Linked DNA regions of Arabidopsis thaliana. The protein of the gene in region 3 purifies or fractionates together with the protein of the main gene of each other region. This does not show direct contact. Each region holds a gene or a part of one and is shown on either strand. Other genes may lie near its edges.

The links.
Region 1: the proteins of AT1G54450 (region 3) and AT3G57890 fractionate together in Arabidopsis thaliana (co-fractionation; one large-scale study listed by BioGRID). This does not show direct contact.
Region 2: the proteins of AT1G54450 (region 3) and AT2G42230 fractionate together in Arabidopsis thaliana (co-fractionation; one large-scale study listed by BioGRID). This does not show direct contact.

What each region holds. Positions count from the first base shown.
Region 1 is NC_003074.8:21,436,404-21,442,432, reverse strand, and holds AT3G57890 (Tubulin binding cofactor C domain-containing protein), read right to left. Parts: upstream 4,350-6,029; 5' UTR 4,163-4,349; coding exon 3,656-4,162; intron 3,145-3,655; coding exon 3,037-3,144; intron 2,949-3,036; coding exon 2,808-2,948; intron 2,663-2,807; coding exon 2,288-2,662; intron 2,203-2,287; coding exon 2,098-2,202; intron 1,969-2,097; coding exon 1,828-1,968; intron 1,490-1,827; coding exon 1,286-1,489; intron 1,175-1,285; coding exon 1,082-1,174; intron 988-1,081; coding exon 876-987; intron 782-875; coding exon 738-781; 3' UTR 545-737; downstream 1-544. Other genes in the region: AT3G57900 (import inner membrane translocase subunit Tim17/Tim22/Tim23 family protein), read left to right, coding at 48-152.
Region 2 is NC_003071.7:17,592,790-17,598,651, reverse strand, and holds AT2G42230 (C-CAP/cofactor C-like domain-containing protein), read left to right. Parts: upstream 1-1,986; 5' UTR 1,987-2,088; coding exon 2,089-2,574; exon of another isoform or gene 2,575-2,754; intron 2,755-2,849; coding exon 2,850-2,990; intron 2,991-3,114; coding exon 3,115-3,495; intron 3,496-3,596; coding exon 3,597-3,701; intron 3,702-3,788; coding exon 3,789-3,929; intron 3,930-4,067; coding exon of another isoform or gene 4,068-4,073; intron 4,074-4,207; coding exon 4,208-4,411; intron 4,412-4,518; coding exon 4,519-4,611; intron 4,612-4,707; coding exon 4,708-4,819; intron 4,820-4,903; coding exon 4,904-4,947; 3' UTR 4,948-5,241; downstream 5,242-5,862. Other genes in the region: AT2G42240 (RNA-binding (RRM/RBD/RNP motifs) family protein), read right to left, coding at 3-72, 142-230, 344-392, 623-695, 941-997, 1,096-1,180, 1,392-1,454, 1,545-1,808; AT2G42220 (Rhodanese/Cell cycle control phosphatase superfamily protein), read right to left, coding at 5,347-5,411, 5,501-5,605, 5,711-5,796.
Region 3 is NC_003070.9:20,335,662-20,341,651, reverse strand, and holds AT1G54450 (Calcium-binding EF-hand family protein), read left to right. Parts: upstream 1-1,882; 5' UTR 1,883-2,116; coding exon 2,117-2,248; intron 2,249-2,609; coding exon 2,610-2,858; intron 2,859-2,963; coding exon 2,964-3,069; intron 3,070-3,149; coding exon 3,150-3,249; intron 3,250-3,388; coding exon 3,389-3,494; intron 3,495-3,646; coding exon 3,647-3,737; intron 3,738-3,908; coding exon 3,909-4,050; intron 4,051-4,130; coding exon 4,131-4,278; intron 4,279-4,367; coding exon 4,368-4,477; intron 4,478-4,570; coding exon 4,571-4,853; intron 4,854-4,941; coding exon 4,942-5,082; 3' UTR 5,083-5,449; downstream 5,450-5,990. Other genes in the region: AT1G54460 (TPX2 (targeting protein for Xklp2) protein family), read left to right, coding at 1-59, 446-745. UniProt on the Arabidopsis thaliana protein: Probable regulatory subunit of type 2A protein phosphatase.

The DNA.
Region 1 (6,029 bases), on a different chromosome or scaffold from region 3:
GTTGAAGATGATGGGAAGCCACGGGCTGACTTTTGCTGCCATTGGAGGTGTTCATTGGTGTTGAACAGTTGGTGCAGAACTTTAGAGCTAAGAGAGATTTCTTCAATGGAGCACACATTACAATGACTAAAGTAGCAAGAACTCATTATTAGCTGGATCCTGCGCTCATGGATATCTCTGTTCCATCCCATGTCCTTCTGTTTTTGTATCTTGAGATGTTCATGTTATGTTGCATTGTTTGGATGTTTCTACGAATATGAGATTCTGCAAATATGAGAAATTTTGGAGCTCTAAAACTTCTTCAGAAATTTGCACCTACCATGGTAGTAGCCTAACTCTTGCGTCCACTTAAATCTATTTGACCAAGACAAGACTATCTATCAAAACAGTTTTGCTTACAAGTTATAACTTATAACAATTCAAGTCATCATGCTCTATTTGAAGATGAGATTTTCAATAGAGAAGGGAACAAAAACGATGGATTGAAATGTCAAGGAAAGAAAAGCAGAAATCAAGAAAACAATAATCTAAACGAAAGCTTTAAGAGAGTATTTCTGTGCAGATAAGTTACGTTGTGAAGTATTGGTTCCAAACTACAAATCACTGAATCAGGCTGATTTCTCTTTTTTCTTTTTTCTTTTGGTCTTGGGGTGGGGTTTCTTCACTAGCAATATGCCAAATATGATCGAAGGAGCTCTACATGAACAAGACACTTTCCGCTTGGTCTATTATTCTTATTAGTCACCTTGTAGGCAGTAGAGTTGCCTTATATTTCCAGATGCTGTCGCAACAAAAACATAGACTAAGTCAAAACCTAATGAATGATGCATATCAATAAAGTAAAGTAGGGATCGATTCAGAGAAAGTTTTCTTACCGTAAAGCCAGTCTTTGAAATAAACATGGAGTGCACTTGATAGCTCTCGTTTCCGGTTTTCTTCTAGAGGCGCCTCTTTTAACGATCGTCTTGTTTCTTCAAAGTTCTTAAGCTGATGACAAAAAAAATTGCAGATACAAGATCAGATATGGACAAAAATAACAAATGCATTTGTTTATCTGGTTAAGTATAACTTTAAAACATACGTTTCTCTGCTGAGCTGCCATATAAGCATCTGGCAATGGAAATGGATTGTCTTTCGTCGAACCAAGCTCCGCGCCGCTAAACCAGTTTGGGATCTGTGCCATTGTCATTGATACCACCGAAAAACACGTCATTAGATGCTTCATGACACTGAAAAGCATTCACCAATTATTGACGTAAATGTTAGACCCAAATAGAAAATGTACCAAAAAGTTTACGAACTGGTCAGGGTCTACAGAAGCAGCTGATTCAGCCTGTGCATCAGCAACACCGGCAGGATGTGACAGGGAGTCATGTGGATCCACAGCTCCCAGGGCCAATGGTTTGTCCCATTTGTTGATCGTTGGCTCAAGCCCTACCTCCCTCATGTGCTCTTCCAAATGAGAGTAAAATGTATTATATGGAGCGACCTGAAACAAAGTCAAATTGATGCCAGCACTTTAAAAATAGAAGCCCATAATCACTAGAAGCAATATCTGACAATGCCCGCACTCTTAAAAACCAGTAAAACCTTCTTGAGGAAAACATTTGACTAAACGTATCTAGCAGCAGTCTAGCCACCCCTCCAAGTTTGTTTCCACTAGACTTGATGACGTGTCCGAAACGGCTTATTAACCAAACTAACCAAACTAAATCTAGTAAAAAGTCTAGCCACTCAATTTTTTTTACCTTAATATCAGAAAGGTAAATAAGAGCAACATGACATAAAACTTGTAAATTAAACCACAATCTTAAAGAGAAGCTTCACCTGCAGTTTGTGGTTATCACCAACAATAAGTGGCCGCTGATTGACTCCCAAGAAGAATACACATTCACGACAATTGGCAATGCACACTCGTTTGGCAGCTACAATCACATGAACTCTTTCACAGTGCTCAACTTTTATTGCCTGCAGAAATAAATACGGAATTATGTTTGATACATCTTTTAATAAAAGTTGGCAGATATTATAACTTGTTAAATGTTGCTTTGACTATCTTCAGAAAAGATAAAGAAGGAAGAAGCATTGTTTCCATACCTTGCCAACAGCTCCCAAAACTATAGTAGTATCAGAACATCCGTGCACAGTTGCATATCGCAATGGTGCTAAAAGATAAATTACAGAATCATGGCAATTGACAACCTGAAAAATACACAAAACAAGGAGTTGACATGCTTGCACAGAGATTCCATGACTGGAAGAAAAACGGAACAAGGAACAGTCAGACCTTCACAGATCTACCCCTTAGATCGGAGGCTTGCTTAACAAGTGAAGTCTTGGAGACTCCCTCGATTAAACACGGGCCTCTAGTACTAGGTGCAACCTTGTTCGGAGCAGCACAAACATCTGACATCGCATCATCTTGATCGTTAGAAGGTCCGTTCTCTTTTCCAGAAATTCTCTCAGTAATGCTTTCTAAAGCGGAAGCTATGTTTTGCAGAAGCCAGTCATGCACTTGGGAAGCGGGGACTGGAACAGCGGGCATATCCGGATCAGAATTTGCAAAAAAAGGAGTAGCTTGGCTCAATGGAGATACATCAGATCCCTTATCACCAAACTGAACAAGAAAACGCAGATGCTCGAACGCCTCCATAGAGAAAACCTGAACGATATTGGACAAGAAAAAAAAAATTAACTTGTGTTCTCTTTCATTTCCTAAAAAATTCTTATTCCAACATCAGAATTTTATATTCTTGTAGCTTAGAACAGTGACACCCCCTGAGAATATAAGAAAGATTAGAACTTACCAATGATTCATCTCCTTCTCCCTCCACAGGCTCTGCAAGGAGAGAAATGATGTTTGCTAAATGTTTTTGCAGATATGACAACTGATGAGCTTCATCATCTGCCTGTGATGGCATAAATCGACGGCTGTTGCTGCGAACAAGCTGCAGAAATGATGAAAAGGAGATATAAATAACAATTTTAGCTCCAATAAAGTTGGTTCGACCCATGTGATGAGAAACGATAGAATACCAAAGAACAGTGACTGTAGAAAACACTGAAAAGCTTAAGATTATATGACTGTTTTCTAAAAGACTCAATAGAACATCCATACCACACAGGAAACAGAATATTACAGGACTGGAGACCCGAGTCAAAATTCAAGAACACACCAAGCATTATCACCAAATAAACCACGTGAAAGGACCAAACAAAATAAGGTACAACGGAAAAAGAATCAGATTCCGAACCACAAAACAAAGCAAGCTGGCGACTGTTTGACTTTAGTTAGTAAACTAACCAATTACCATTGCCCCAGAGTCATCAGAGAAAGGGGACTGGCAATTAAATACAAGTAAGCATCTTCCTCATTGAGAATTGTTACGAAACTATAGCCACCATCAATTCAATTAATCACCCAAATTTCCGACATTGCTTAACTCTAAGTTTCAGGTAAATCAAATGACTCAGAAAACTTAAACTTGCATTGCAAATTTTAGTTAAATACAATGCGAAATGGAAATAAGTTATTCTCTACCACGTTCCAATTCCATACTCGAGTACAACAGTTCCATTTCAATACCAAACAAATCGCAGGCGCTGGGATTGAGGCACATTATAATAAGAGGGCCAAAAAAAGTAAGAAACTTGCCTGAATTGGCGATAACGCAGACAAGTATCCATCAAAAGCTGAAGTCGATGGCCAAACATCAGCCACCGCTGCGGAGTCCTTATGCGTCCTAGGAAGCAACTTCTTATACGATTGAATGTACAGGAACAAAATAAGATCCCGCAAATCAGCTCCGACGGAATCAACTTCCTCAGGTTTCGCCCGAACCAGAGGGTCAGACTCGGAATGAAGCACCGAACCGAGAGTCTCGAGAACGAGACGCGCATGGTCGCCGGAGATCTGGAGAACGTCGGCGATTGCAGCCGATCCAACGCGGTTATTCGAAGCCGCATCGGCTAGCTTCTGCTTGACAGGGGCTAAGGTTTGGATCGGGTCGGTGAAAACGAGTTTCTGGATCGGGAGGAGTCCGTGCTCGAAAGACACACGCCTTGGATGGATTACTGAATTCGGATTCGTGCTCGAGTTTGGTTCAGGGTCGGGTGCTGAAGGTGGTGGTGATTGGTCGATGAGGTCTTGTTCTTCAGTCATGATTGATTCGTCGCGCGAGGTAGAGAGACAGAAGAGATAGAGAGAGACTGGTCCGGTGGTGAAGTTGCAGATCTTTCTTTGGGTGACGAATCATTTCATTGAAGGAGAAGAGCAGAGAGAGAGATGGTTACAGTGCGTGCACGTGTATGTTAGTAACGTACGCTTCGTTTCTTTGGTCGTTGGATTTACGAGTAGATTAACCTTTGATCTGAGCTATGACACGTCAGATGAACGGAGATAACATGTTAACTAAAGAGGCCCATTTGAGAATTGAATGCAAATCGCATTTAAGTTTTAGTTAGGCCATTGTTGCAATAAGTTAGGTCCTAAGCGTTCGTCAAAAGGAGAAAAGGTGATCATCACAACTCATAATTAGGTTTTACAATAGGGAAATATACTTGGTTACCTAAGTACTTGTAAGTTGTCACTGTTAATTAAAATTGTTAGAAGATTAGTGGGAAAAAGAGAGATAAAATTGGGAAGTTTAGGCCAAAAGAACTCATAACTCGCTTTCATTGCAATTTAAATATTGTCCGCTTGTTTAAGGAAAATGGTTTGCAATGGGTAAACATCGTTTAAATGAGACGGTTATGTTTTTTAGCAGTTACAGAAAAAGGCGGGTAGAAAAAAACGGTTAGAAAAGATGAACAACCTAAAATTAAACCAATTGGTAATATCGTTTAAATAAGGCGGTTATTTTATTTAACACTTACAAAAAAGACTGATAAAAAAAAACGGTTAGAAAATATATTAAAAGAAAAAATGATAAATAATTTAAAATGAACCGTTAAATAATAGTTATGATTAGTAACAAACGGTTAAACAGTAAAAAAAAAAAACTAAATTAAAATATTTAATAAATAACTAAAAATATTTAAAAAACAAAGAAAAACAAAACTCTTTAGTAAATAATTCAAATACATTACAGTTTTAAAAATCTAAGAAACGTTAAATAACTAAAATATTCCAATGGTGAACAAGAGAGGTTGCAAACTCACCTATTTTGTTTAAGCTTTTAACCGTTTGTTTCAATCACCTATTCTTACCACTCGTTTCATCCGTCTATTGCAAGCAATTATTTGATTGGTAATCAAACTAACGGTTGAATTTATCGCCGTTAAATAAATGTTATCAAGCTACTATTGGAATTCGGAAAGGGAACACTATCAACTTTTGGATTCTTAGGTTATCTCATTCATTCAGCTAGCTCAATATTCTGATTTGATTTGATTTGATCCGTTTCGATTCGGTATTTGATTTAATTTGATTCGAAAAATCCGAATATTCGTAAGATTTTGGAGCAAAGCAAATAGAAAAATATAGTATTCGTAAAAATCGAATCAAATAATAAATATTGTTTTTTAAAAAATCGAATATCCGCTTCGATCCGTATCTTTTTATATATATTAGAAAATATAGTATATCTATATATAGATATCATAAATAGTTTGTGTATTGTTGTCATTTTATGTTTTTATGTTAAGATGTTTGTTTGATCATTTTTTTTTATGTTATGTTTTGATCAATGGCATCAAAAAACTATCGGGTTTTAGTTTTGGAATTAGTTTGATAATATTTTGTTGACCGGTGATACCAACAACGGTTATGTTTGGTATTTAGAACTTATTTTAAAAGCACACGGAGACACCAATTAAGGAACGCACGGATAAATTTTTTGAATATATGATATAGTTATATAGTATACATATTTTTTTAATATTTAAATGTATCAAAGCGGATATCCGCAAATATCACAAAAAATTCCGGATATTCGAAATTCCGGATATCTGGAAATTTTCGAAGTAAAGCGAATCACAAAATCAAGTATTCGTTTAAAACGAATCGAATAACAAATATCATAATTTTT
Region 2 (5,862 bases), on a different chromosome or scaffold from region 3:
ACCTGGAAATCAACAAATGCAACAGGAGTCCCATATGTACCCTGAATCTTCAGCTTCAAGAATCCACGGCATCTGAGAGGAAAGAGAGTGAAAACTATCTCTAGTGGTTACAGTTTTGCGTGGAGAATAGAGTATTCTTACCTCGAGAAAACTTGAATTAGCTCAGCTTCGGTGCAATTTGGTCCCATATTCGCTATGAAAAGTGTTGGACAAGGATCTGCCGCCTTACTCTGTCAAAGGAACAAAGATTGTCATGTTCACTGGTAAGAATAGTTTACCTCACTGTTTTTCGTCCAGACAGAAAACAATACTCATATGAAGTATAAAATAGGCAGAAGCTTACAGGTTTTCTAGAAGTCGGTGCCCTCCCAGCAACATTAGCAATTCCTTGACTGAACGAGCAAAAAGAATTTAATGAGACCCTGAGTTTCGTGAGCTAATAGCTAAGAAAGAACAAGCACTCTCGTAACCAGTATCTAGACATGTGAGCTAGGACTAGTTCAGCTAATCCTTAAGTAGGTCAGATTTTCAAGGCAGAGGTACAAGAAAAGAGTGTGCAACAAAGAAACAGAATCTAAGCATTCACAAGGAACTAGAAATGTGCTCAAGTAGTGCAGATGACCTTTGTGCAGGTGAATAACCAATTGTGTTGTAAGCAGAACTACTCATTCCAGGAGTTTGAAAGCTGCCAAAACCTGCTAGTGCCCAAACGTGCAAGAATGTGCAGTGTGAGTTTTCAGAAACGTGAAACCATGTTGACGGCACTTAAAGCCCAAGTGTGAAATCTTAAACCAAAAAGAGCTAGCATGCATGAGCGTGATGGTCATGAAGATTGGAAGTTTGAAAATATATATACTACACAAACATTCAGTTACAAGAAACATAAAATACAGAAGGTTACAAGAAGCCTCAAGATGAAGGTGTGTGCCAATGATCTTACCAGATTCAGTAGTAGTGTTCCAAGACTTGAGTTTTTTCAAGCTTTCCCAACCATCATCTACCATATCACAAAAATCACAAAATAAAAATTAACACAACAATAGCAAAGGTCAAATTTTTATTGAGCTACCGAACCGAAAGAATCCTACTACTTGCCTGTTCTTGAACGCTTAGATTTGGGATTTGATTTGGCAAGGTCAATGTGAAGAGTAGAATGCTTTTCAAGATCAAACACCATTCCCTGAAAGGTTCAGAAATAAAATTCAGAAAGTTTCTTAATCTAGGCAAATGACAAAGCTTATTCACTTACGCATACAAATCCCAACCGAATGATTTCAATTTACTAGATTGAATTAAGAACAACCATAAAGATACCAAATTTACTTAATGCTTTGTAAGTAGATACATCGGCGACACATTGCAAGAGCAAGTTTGAAGAAATTTGTACTCACATTGAGAGCATGCATCACCGCTACAGCTGATTGCAGATCCGAGAACACAGCAAATGCGAAGGGCTACCAAACAAATAAAGTAAGATTCTCAGTCTCTTCGCCGGGAAACATCATTACCCAAATCACAAATCCGGAGAGATAGAAAATGATTACCTTAGCTCCATCTGAGCTCCGGAGATGCGAAGTCTCATATCCTGGGAACTCACGAAAGAGATTGTAGATCTCCCGAGGCTTGACATCTTCAGGAAGTCCGGCGACGAAAAGCGTCCTAACCTCATCGCGAGCTCCAATTGAGACATGGGTAGGCAAATAGACGGAATGAGCTGAAGTAATTGGAATCGGAGAAACTCCCGGCGGCGGAGGAGGAACCATCGCCGGTAAATTATAGTGAGAATAGTAAGCTTCCAAATCATCCATTGACAACGACTTAATCTCGTGGCCGGTGAAAGTCGCAGTTTACAACGGAGAAGAAACTAATCGCGTTACTTAATGGGCCGTTTAAAGCCCATTTAAATATCGGCCTTTTTGACCCATTGTTCATCACCAGGCGTAGGATAATAGCATGTGGTTGCACACACTGTAACATAACACTCTCTCTCTTTTTTTCTTCTTCTTGATGACAATTGTTCCTATGTTCAAAGATCTGCAACTTCATTCATAACAGTTCTTTTTCTCTCGTTCTCTGGTTTAAAGCATAATGACGGAAGAGCTCATCGACCAATCACCACCACCTGACCCAGACCCGATTCAAAATTCGAATTTAATAATCCACCCAAGACGTGTTCCTTTCGAGCACGGCCTTCTTCCGATCCAGAAGCTCGTTTTTACCGACCCGATTCAAACTCTAGCTCCGATCAAGCAAAAGTTAGCTTCTTTGGCGACGAATCATCGCGTCGGATCTGCTGCCATTTCCGATGCACTCTCGATCTCCGATGACCATGCGCGCCTCGTTCTCGAAACTCTCTCTTCGGTGCTCCATTGCGAGACTGACCCATTGGTTTTGGCCAAACCTGAGGAAGTTGATTCCGTGGGAGCTGATTTGAGGGATCTGATATTGTTTCTCTACATTCAATCGTATAAGAAGTTATTGCCTAGGACGCATAAAGACTCTGCTTCTGTGGCTGATGTTTGGCCTTCGACTTCTGCTTTTGATGGATACTTGTCGGCATTATCTCCAATTCAGGCAAGCTTTTTTATTCTCTTAATCATGTAATGTGGCTCAAAACGTTATCTTGTGATCTATTTGGTTTAAAAAATTTCATTTTGCATTGGATTTTACTATAATTTTGCAATGCAAGTTAAATAATATTACGTTATCATTCAGAAACATATGAAAAGGATTGTCTGATATTTGAAATATTTTACCGATAATTGTTCTCATTACTGTTTCTATCATATGGGTAGAGACATCCTTGTAGCTGTTGAGTTTAAGTTAAATTTCCTTTCATCATCTTGCAGCTTGTTCGTAGCAACAGCCGTCGGTTTATGCCATCACCGACAGATGAAGAAGCTCATCAATTATCGTATCTGCAAAAGCACATTGCAAATATTATTTCTCTCCTTGCAGAGCCTGTGGAGGGACAAGGAGATGATTCTTTGGTATGTGCTAAACTTTTTTTATGTTTGTATCAGATGGATAGAAAATTTTATGTTGTGATGCAATATTATGGGAAATGGAAAAGAACGAATATCTCATGCTAGATGGTCCGAATCTCCTCCTCAGGTCCTGTCTATGGAGAGTTTGGAGCACATTGGGTTTCTTGTTCATTATGGTGATAAGGGATTTGATGTACCTTCTTTAAGCCAAGCTACTCCTTTTTTTGCGAATTCTGATCCTGATATGCCCGCTGTCCCCGTTCCTGCTTCCCAAGTGAATGATTGGCTTCTCAAAGACATAGCTTCCGCCTTAGAAAGCATTTCTAACAGAATCTCTGGGAAAGAAAATGGGGCATCTAATGCCTCTGATCAGAATGCTGCAATGGCTGATTCTAGTGTAGCTCTTAATAAAGTTTCATCTAACGACAGAGGTCCATGTATTATTGAGGGAGTCTCTAAGACCTCACTTTTCAAGCAGGCTTCTGATCTTAAGGGTAGATCAGTGAAGGTCCGTATTGAACAACTAATTTGCATTTTAAACAGCAATCCCTCATTTAGTTTCGTTTACTCATGTATGCACGTCAATTGCATGTTTTGTGTATTCTGCAGGTTGCCAATTGCCATGATTCTGTTATTTATCTGTTAGCGCCATTGAGATATGCAACTGTGTATGGGTGTTCTGATTCTACTATCGTTCTGGGAGCTGCTGGCAAGGTACGGCAAATATACTCCTTTCTGTTTTAGTCTTTGTTAGCGAGGTTCAGGTTAGAATGCAGTGATAATATTTTATGTTCTTTGCAGGCAGTAAAAGTTGAGCATTGTGAGAGAGTTCATGTGATTGTAGCTACCAAACGAATTTGCATCGCCAATTGCCGTGAATGTGTGTTCTTTTTGGGAGTCAATCAGCGACCTCTTATAGTTGGTGATAACCACAAACTACAGGTGATATGTCTATTTAAGATTGAGCTGCATACATAACTCTTCTTTCCCGCCCTGATATTCAGCTGAAATTAATAAATAGACTACAGTTTTTCTTTTAACTCTAGGCTAAATCTTTCCTGTGTTAATATCCTGGTATAGTCATGATCGTATTAATGGTTCCTGGTGTTTGGAAAATTGAGCATGCTGTTAAAGTCACTTCTTCAACTGAGTTAAGTGGAAACATCTTCTGATGTGTTGTCTATAACTGTTGGCATCAATGTGACTGTTATCTGTTCCAGGTTGCTCCATATAATACATTTTACTCACACTTGGAGGAGCACATAACCGAGGTAGGAATTCAGCCAACTATCAACAAATGGAACGAATCCTTGGCGCTCGGAGCAATTGATCCGCATGACTCACTATCACATCCGACTGGTGCCTCTGATAAACAAGCTGAACCGGCTTCTTGTGTGGACCCTGACCAGTTCACTACCTTTTTGGTTAGATTCCCCTTTTTGTTAGTTTAATTTTCCTCTAGTAACTAGTGATATTGGTTATTAAGATTGTGTTCGTGGGTTAATTTCTCACATCAATGTCTCTGGTTCAGATCCCAAACTGGTTTGCGGGTGAGGCGATTGGTTCCACGAAAGACAATCCATTTCCATTGCCAGATGCATATAAGGCAGTGCAGCAGACAAACGTATGTTTTTTATTTGCTTTCCGCATAAAATTGCTCGTTTCTTTTTCATCCATACTTCAGCATCTGATCCCTTAACTGTGTTTTGGTTTTGAGCAGCTTAAGAACTTAGAGGAAACAAGACAATCCTTGAGAGAAACACCTCTCGAAGAAAACCGAAAACGAGAACTCACTACAGCGTTCCACATGTATTTCAAAGACTGGCTATACGGTAATCAAATAAAATCCCCATTCTAGTTCATTTACTCCTTTGGCCAGCCAATGATCTATATGTATCTCTTTCTTTTGGTGACAGCGACGGGAAATATTCGGCAACTTTACTGCCTACAAGGCGATTAAGACCAATGGCGATTGAAAATGTCAGAGTCACTGTAGAGTTCTCTTGATCCGTTCCTTCTCAGAGATTTGCTAGCACGTTTGACATCAGAATTTAACTGCACAGCACGCTCTCTAACTCCTAAAGCTCTGTTTTTTTGTGTGTAGGTTTCTCTCTGCTTTTATCGTATTTATTAGTCTTAAATATCCACGTTTTTGTCCTTGAAAAACATTAAGCCATCTTGTCTTGTTGTTGATTTCTTTCAATTGTTATAACAACTTTTCTCAATACCATATATATAAATCTTTTAGTAACTACTACTTGGGAATTTTAAATATTTTGAATTTTCTCTTAAGCATCACATTCAAAACAGGCAGAAAATGTGAAAACATGTCTGCCTCAATTGTTTTCTTTGTCTTGTCTTAGCTTGTTGGAGGAAAGAGCTTCTCTGCTTGGTCCGGGAAGAACTGTATGAACAAATAAGCACCTGCAAGTTCAACAAAGTCTTACTCATAACCAAAGGAAAGACCAAACAACATTCTCTATATTCTTCAGCTCTATGTAAATTAAACTTACAGACGAGTACTGTCCCTAAGACTGCTGAGATCTTGCCTTGAATTGTGATAAGCCCTGCTTTGCCTGCATTCTGCAACTCAGTGGAACCGACGGATTCAAATGTCCCTAAAGTCGCAACAACAGTAAATCCGATTCATTATCCTTCTCAAACCAAACTATCTCCAAAACCCCTCAAGAAATGATCTTAGATGAAACCAAATGGGATCAAACCTGGTTTTACAGATTGTAGCCCTGATGTTACACAAGCAATGTTTTCGTAACCTGCTTCCTCCAATCTACTAGCTGCAGCTGCAGATCTTTTCAAGAATCGAACAAAGAAACTTATAATTTTTCTTCATACTACATTTGGTGATACATGTCTC
Region 3 (5,990 bases):
CTAATCCGGTACCAAGTTTCTACCAAGAGGGTCCTCCACCGAAACAACCATTGAAAAAGGTATGGAACGAAACCTCACTGTCTTCACTTACCTTTTTTACGCCCACTTTGATTCATTTTATTGCTTGTCCAAGACTGAAAACATATTGAATGATGAGATTCAACATTTAGTTTTCTTTTCTTGTGATCGGGTAAGATAGGCTTATCCTCACCACAAACAGCTTATCCTACTCAACTACGTCTATGGTCACTTTAGCTTTGTTTTTATTTTAATTTTAAGCAGTAACTCACTACCACAATTGTGAATTCACTTTATTCATGGTAACAGAAGTTGCTGAATTTCTGTATTCAGATGTTGGATTTTGGTTATATGGGCTCTAGTAGTCTACGGTAGGAATGATTCCAAACGCGGAGATTTTAACTTTCTATGATTGTTTGATTTGCAGTTTCCATTGACTCGGCCTAAGTCACCAAACCTTAACCGTAGAAAGAGCTGCAGCGACACAGTTAACGCATCATATCAGGAAGTGAAGGGGAAGCATTGTGCTCGACATCGTCACAGTGTAGGTGGTTGCAAGGATGAAGTCAAAACGAACAGTGTCCCAAGGACACCAAATAGCAGCAGCAAAGATCAGATGAGAAAGTCCAAAAAGGGAACACCAAAGTCTGAAGAAGTACATGAAATGTTTAATAGTGGCCATGATGGAGAGACTGGTGAGAATGGCGTTGGTGTTGTGGAGGAGTGAAGCTTCGCGTAGTTGTAGTTTCGTTTTGACTAACTTTGGTGAATGAGAAAAACAAGAAAAATGGTGAGAAGCAACTGCAAGGAGAAGAACAGGTTTTAGAGTGAAAGAACAAGTTTAAAGTTTGTTTGTTTGTTTGTTGTCTAATGTTCTGCAGATTGATTGTTCTAAATTTGATTGCTAAAATCAGCTGCTCTATTTTCGTATGATCTTTTCTTATCTGTTTGACAATTAATGTGAAATGTATATTAAAGTTGTTGTTGTATGGATCCCAAATTCCCAATTATTATAACTAGATTAATGGTTAAGCTGAGCGACATCTATTTATATAATTTCATTGTGTTTGTATGTTTTATTTTTCTAAGTACAATAGATATAAAAGTTTATGAGAGATGTAGAGATTTTGTAGTTTTGAATTCGTTATTCTTGAACCAATTGTATATATTTTATTATTTAAACATAAATATAAATAAAAAAGATTGCTTAACCATCGGGTTAGAGAATATTTATGTAAGTATATATAAAGAAAAATACAAATATAAAGATTTATTAATATAAGATTAACAAACAATGTATGTTTTTTTTTAATTATCAAAAATATATTTTTGATATGAAATAAAAAAAACTCTCGTGATTATTTGTTACATTGTTAAAAAATTAACTCTAAAAAAATATTTCTTCTTATAATCTTTCCTCCTAATTTAGCCTTTCTTATTAGTCACACCCAATTCAAAAAAAAAGCTAAAATATTTGGTAAATGGGAAATTCTACTATGATGCATAGAATCTCGTCTGCCTTGCGTTAAAAAAAACGTTATTTGGTTATTATGATGTCTATAAAATTGATGCTTAGCTTAGGCTAGCACTAGTTTAAAAAGAAAGTTGATAATGTCATGGAGACTCAAAATTTTAATTGCAAATGTAAGAAGCTTGTGATCTGTATTTGTTGCTCGACGTGCCAACTAGTTAATTAGTAGTATAGACTACACTAATATTAATAACCAAGTCAACAGTACAATTTTTTAGTAAAGTTCATCTTTTCAACATTTTACTAATTATAGTTTATTGACTTTTGACTGAAGAAAAAACGTTAATTAATAATGAGTGTGTTACCCTTTTCCTCTCTCTCTCCATCGACCCTTAAATTTCTGCAACTTTCAAAGCTAATCCTCCTCCAGCATCTCACGGATCTACTATACCTTTTCTTCCCTTTTTCTGAATTGAATCATATTTTTTTTTAATATTATACGATCAATACAAACACTGCTACAAATGTATCATAAATACTCTCTCACTTTCTCTTATCAAGCAATCTTGTTGAAGAAATAGGATTTTGAGAATTTGATCACAGTTTTGAAGGAAGAAAGATCAAACAATGGAGTCGATAACGTTAGATATAGAGCTGTTGCAGTTACCAGAGACATCGCCAATGTCGATGAAATCTAATCAAGATTTTGTTAAGAAGCTCTTTGATCAATGGCTTGCTCTTCCTGAAACCAATCGTTTGGTAAATGTTTCTTCCATTTTTCTTGTATCATAATATGTATTTTCTTTAATGGTGACATAATGACCGCACTAGCACAAATCACTAGAATAAGATGACTATGGAGATATGAAATTAAGAAATATGTGGGGTATGAATCCGGACGGTAACACAACGAACTAGCAAAAATCACTAGGAATATATGATTCTGGAGATATGAAATTAAGAAATAAGTTTTGTAATGTCTTTAAATTTTTTGGATGATATGTGCTTTTTTTTTTTGTTGAGTCCCAATGGTGACATAACGACGACATTAGTGCAAACTCGTAGGATAATATGTGTTTTGGTATATGGAACTAAGGAATATTGGTATGAATGATTACAGGTTACATCTTTGGTAAATGATGCAAAGGCAGGAGTGGCTTTGAATGTTATGTGTGGAGGAGGCTCTTCTGGCACGAATTCAGGGTCGAATAGTCCATTAGCTTCAATGTTTCCGGCACGCAATGGGCCTCCTCTTTCTCCAAGGAATTCAACTGGTTCTCCTCGGATCGCCAGACAAAGAACTGGACTATCAAATCTTAGTTCTCCTCTCAAAGTAGTTTCTGATCATGTTAAAGAACTCATTCCTCAGGTCTAACATTTTGATCCACCTTTGATTTTATTATCGTATATAGTCTCTCTCGGCAATTTTTTGTTGTACTAAAGTGATTCTATTATGTATTCATGTAATGTATAGTTTTACTTTGAAGATGGTCGGCCACCACCAAATGATCTAAAAGAGCAGTGCATAGCTAAGATCAATAGTCTTTTCTATGGCCACGAGGATGGTTTGCAACTCCAAGGTTGGTAATTAATTTCTCTTTTAATTAGATATATCTTCATATCTCATTTATAATGACTAATTTCCTCTTTTGTTTCTCAGAATTTAAATTAGTCACTACTGAAATATGCAAAGTTCCATCATTTTTTTCCACCTCCATTTTCAAGAAAGTTGATACCAATAACACTGGTTTTGTGAAAAGGTTTGCAAATTTTTTCATGTTTAGCTACAGAGTTTGATTAGTGAAACGAAATGTATATAAAGTTCAGAGATCATAATATAAATACCTATGAATTGTTTAACACATGTTATATATTATGCTTTTGCCAACTTCTTTGCAGAGAAGACTTCATTGATTATTGGGTTAAGGGAAATATGTTAACAAAGGAGATAACAAGTCAAGTATTTACAATATTGAAGCAGCCAGATCACAACTACCTTGTCCAGGTTGGTTTTTGTAGCTGCACTATATATATATCACCCTTTTTTTGCCACATTGGTAGATGATTTAATTATTTATCCTTCTCTTTGTATATGTATCAACTATTATTTTTCTGGAATTATACTCGAGAGTTCTCAACTTCTTGAGATATTGACAGGATGATTTCAAGCCAGTGCTTCAAGAATTATTGGCAACACACCCTGGTCTTGAATTCTTGCAAGGCACACCGGAATTTCAGGATAGATATGGTTAGTGCAAGAATATGAAGTGATCTTTAGTTCGGTTTGTTTTTTTACAGTTTTGCTGAAATAGTAAGATATGTTTACATTAGATAGAACAAAAATCTAAAATGAGATGTGGTGAATGTAAAGTTGAGTATATGATCCATTGTAATGTATTTGAAAAACTTTTGGCAACAGCTGAAACTGTAATATACAGAATATATTACTACATAAATAGGAGTGGAAATGGGCATCTTACCTTGAGAGAGCTTAAGCGAGGAAATTTAGTTGACGCAATGCAGCATGCCGATGAAGAAGAGGACATCAATAAGGTGTTGAGGTTGGTGTCTTAAGATTAATTAGTAATATGAAATTGGTGCTTATTAACGGCTTTTATTAAGACTCTCTACTGTTTATTAGGTACTTCTCGTATGAACATTTCTATGTCATATACTGCAAGTTCTGGGAGTTGGATACAGATCATGATTTCTTAATCGACAAAGAGAATCTCATCCGATATAGTAACCATGCGCTCACCTATAGGATTGTCGATCGAATCTTTTCACAGGTTAGCTACTCCACATCTGCATTTCTTATTTTTAAAAAACTTTTTTCTACTAGCTGCCGAATGTCTTTGTCACTCGGTCTACTTAATAGGTACCGAGGAAGTTTACTAGTAAAACCGAAGGAAAGATGGGTTATGAGGATTTTGTTTACTTCATATTGGCTGAAGAAGACAAGTCATCAGAACCTAGTCTTGAGTATTGGTGAGAATGGTGAATGTTTTCATACATATAGAGTCTTTGTGTCGGTGTTATTTGGTAAGAGCTATATTCTGTTATTAATGTTTGATGATATAGGTTCAAGTGCATTGATTTGGATGCAAATGGAGTTTTGACGCGGAACGAGCTGCAATTCTTTTACGAGGAGCAGCTACATAGAATGGAATGCATGGCGCAAGAGGCGGTGTTGTTTGAGGATATTTTGTGCCAATTATTCGACATGGTCAAACCAGAGGACGAAGGGTTCATTTGTCTAAATGATTTGAAGGGTTCTAAACTTTCTGGAAATGTCTTCAACATACTTTTTAACCTCAACAAGTTTATGGCGTTTGAAACGCGTGATCCCTTCCTCATCCGCCAGGTATCACAAAATATAGTAAATACCTTAAAGCTAGCTATACATACTTATAGAGATATTCATTTCTCAATGATTGATTGCTGATACATAGGAGCGCGCAAATCCGACATGGACAGAGTGGGATCGTTTTGCTCATAGAGAATATATTAGGCTATCAATGGAAGAAGATGTCGAAGATGCTTCTAATGGAAGTGCTGAAGCATGGGACGACTCACTTGAGGTCCCCTTTTGAGAATTTTATGGTAAGCTCTCACTATAAAAAGCGGACCAATAATGAGTAATATAATCAAAAAAAAAAAGGAAGCTAGGGTATGGGGCCCTTGATTTTCGGATAACATTATTTGGTTTATTAATTTGTTCGGTTTATGATATATAAGGGTGAATGGAAACTAAACACCATTCGGATTTGTTTGATACAGTTTTGAACTTTGATTTGGATTTTATATAAAAAACATATGAATCTAGGATCTCTAAAGAATCAGTAAAATGAAATCAAATTAGTTTACTTTTCAGAATTGTATTTTAATACTTACTCGGATCGGTTCGGTTTCAGATAAAGATCAGTTAAACAAACATAATGTCCTCATTGTATATATGTTGTTACAATGTTTTCACGAGTTTAGTTGTCAATGGAATGCAAACACCATCTCTCTCATCAAAACATTTAATTTTAAAAAGTTTTTCAATATTGCAACCATTGCCGGATGCGCCGTTTGGTTCCTACATGCAAGCCATTTCGCAACTTGGATAATAGATATAAACACGTCCGAACTAATCGTGGCCAGTATGATTTTCTATTATTATCTTTCAAAATTCGTATTTAGTATTTTACTGGTCCCAATTGTATCTCTAATGATTTCCTAATCTCTACAATAGTTTATAGTTGTTTTTTTTCTCATAGTTGATAGTAGAGTTTTTTTTTTTAATACAAAATACCGAGAAAAAAACAGTAATTGTATACTTAATAACTCTTTAAATTTAGATTCATATTAAAAATTAAATTAAGTGCTATCGAAACTAAGTTTTTATAGATATTTTGGTAAAAAACAACTTAGTGGCTTATATTTCGAGTTGAATTCTTGTTTCCAAAGATTTGTGGTAACTACGGTGTAAAAGAATTATTGAATCTTAATTTCTACT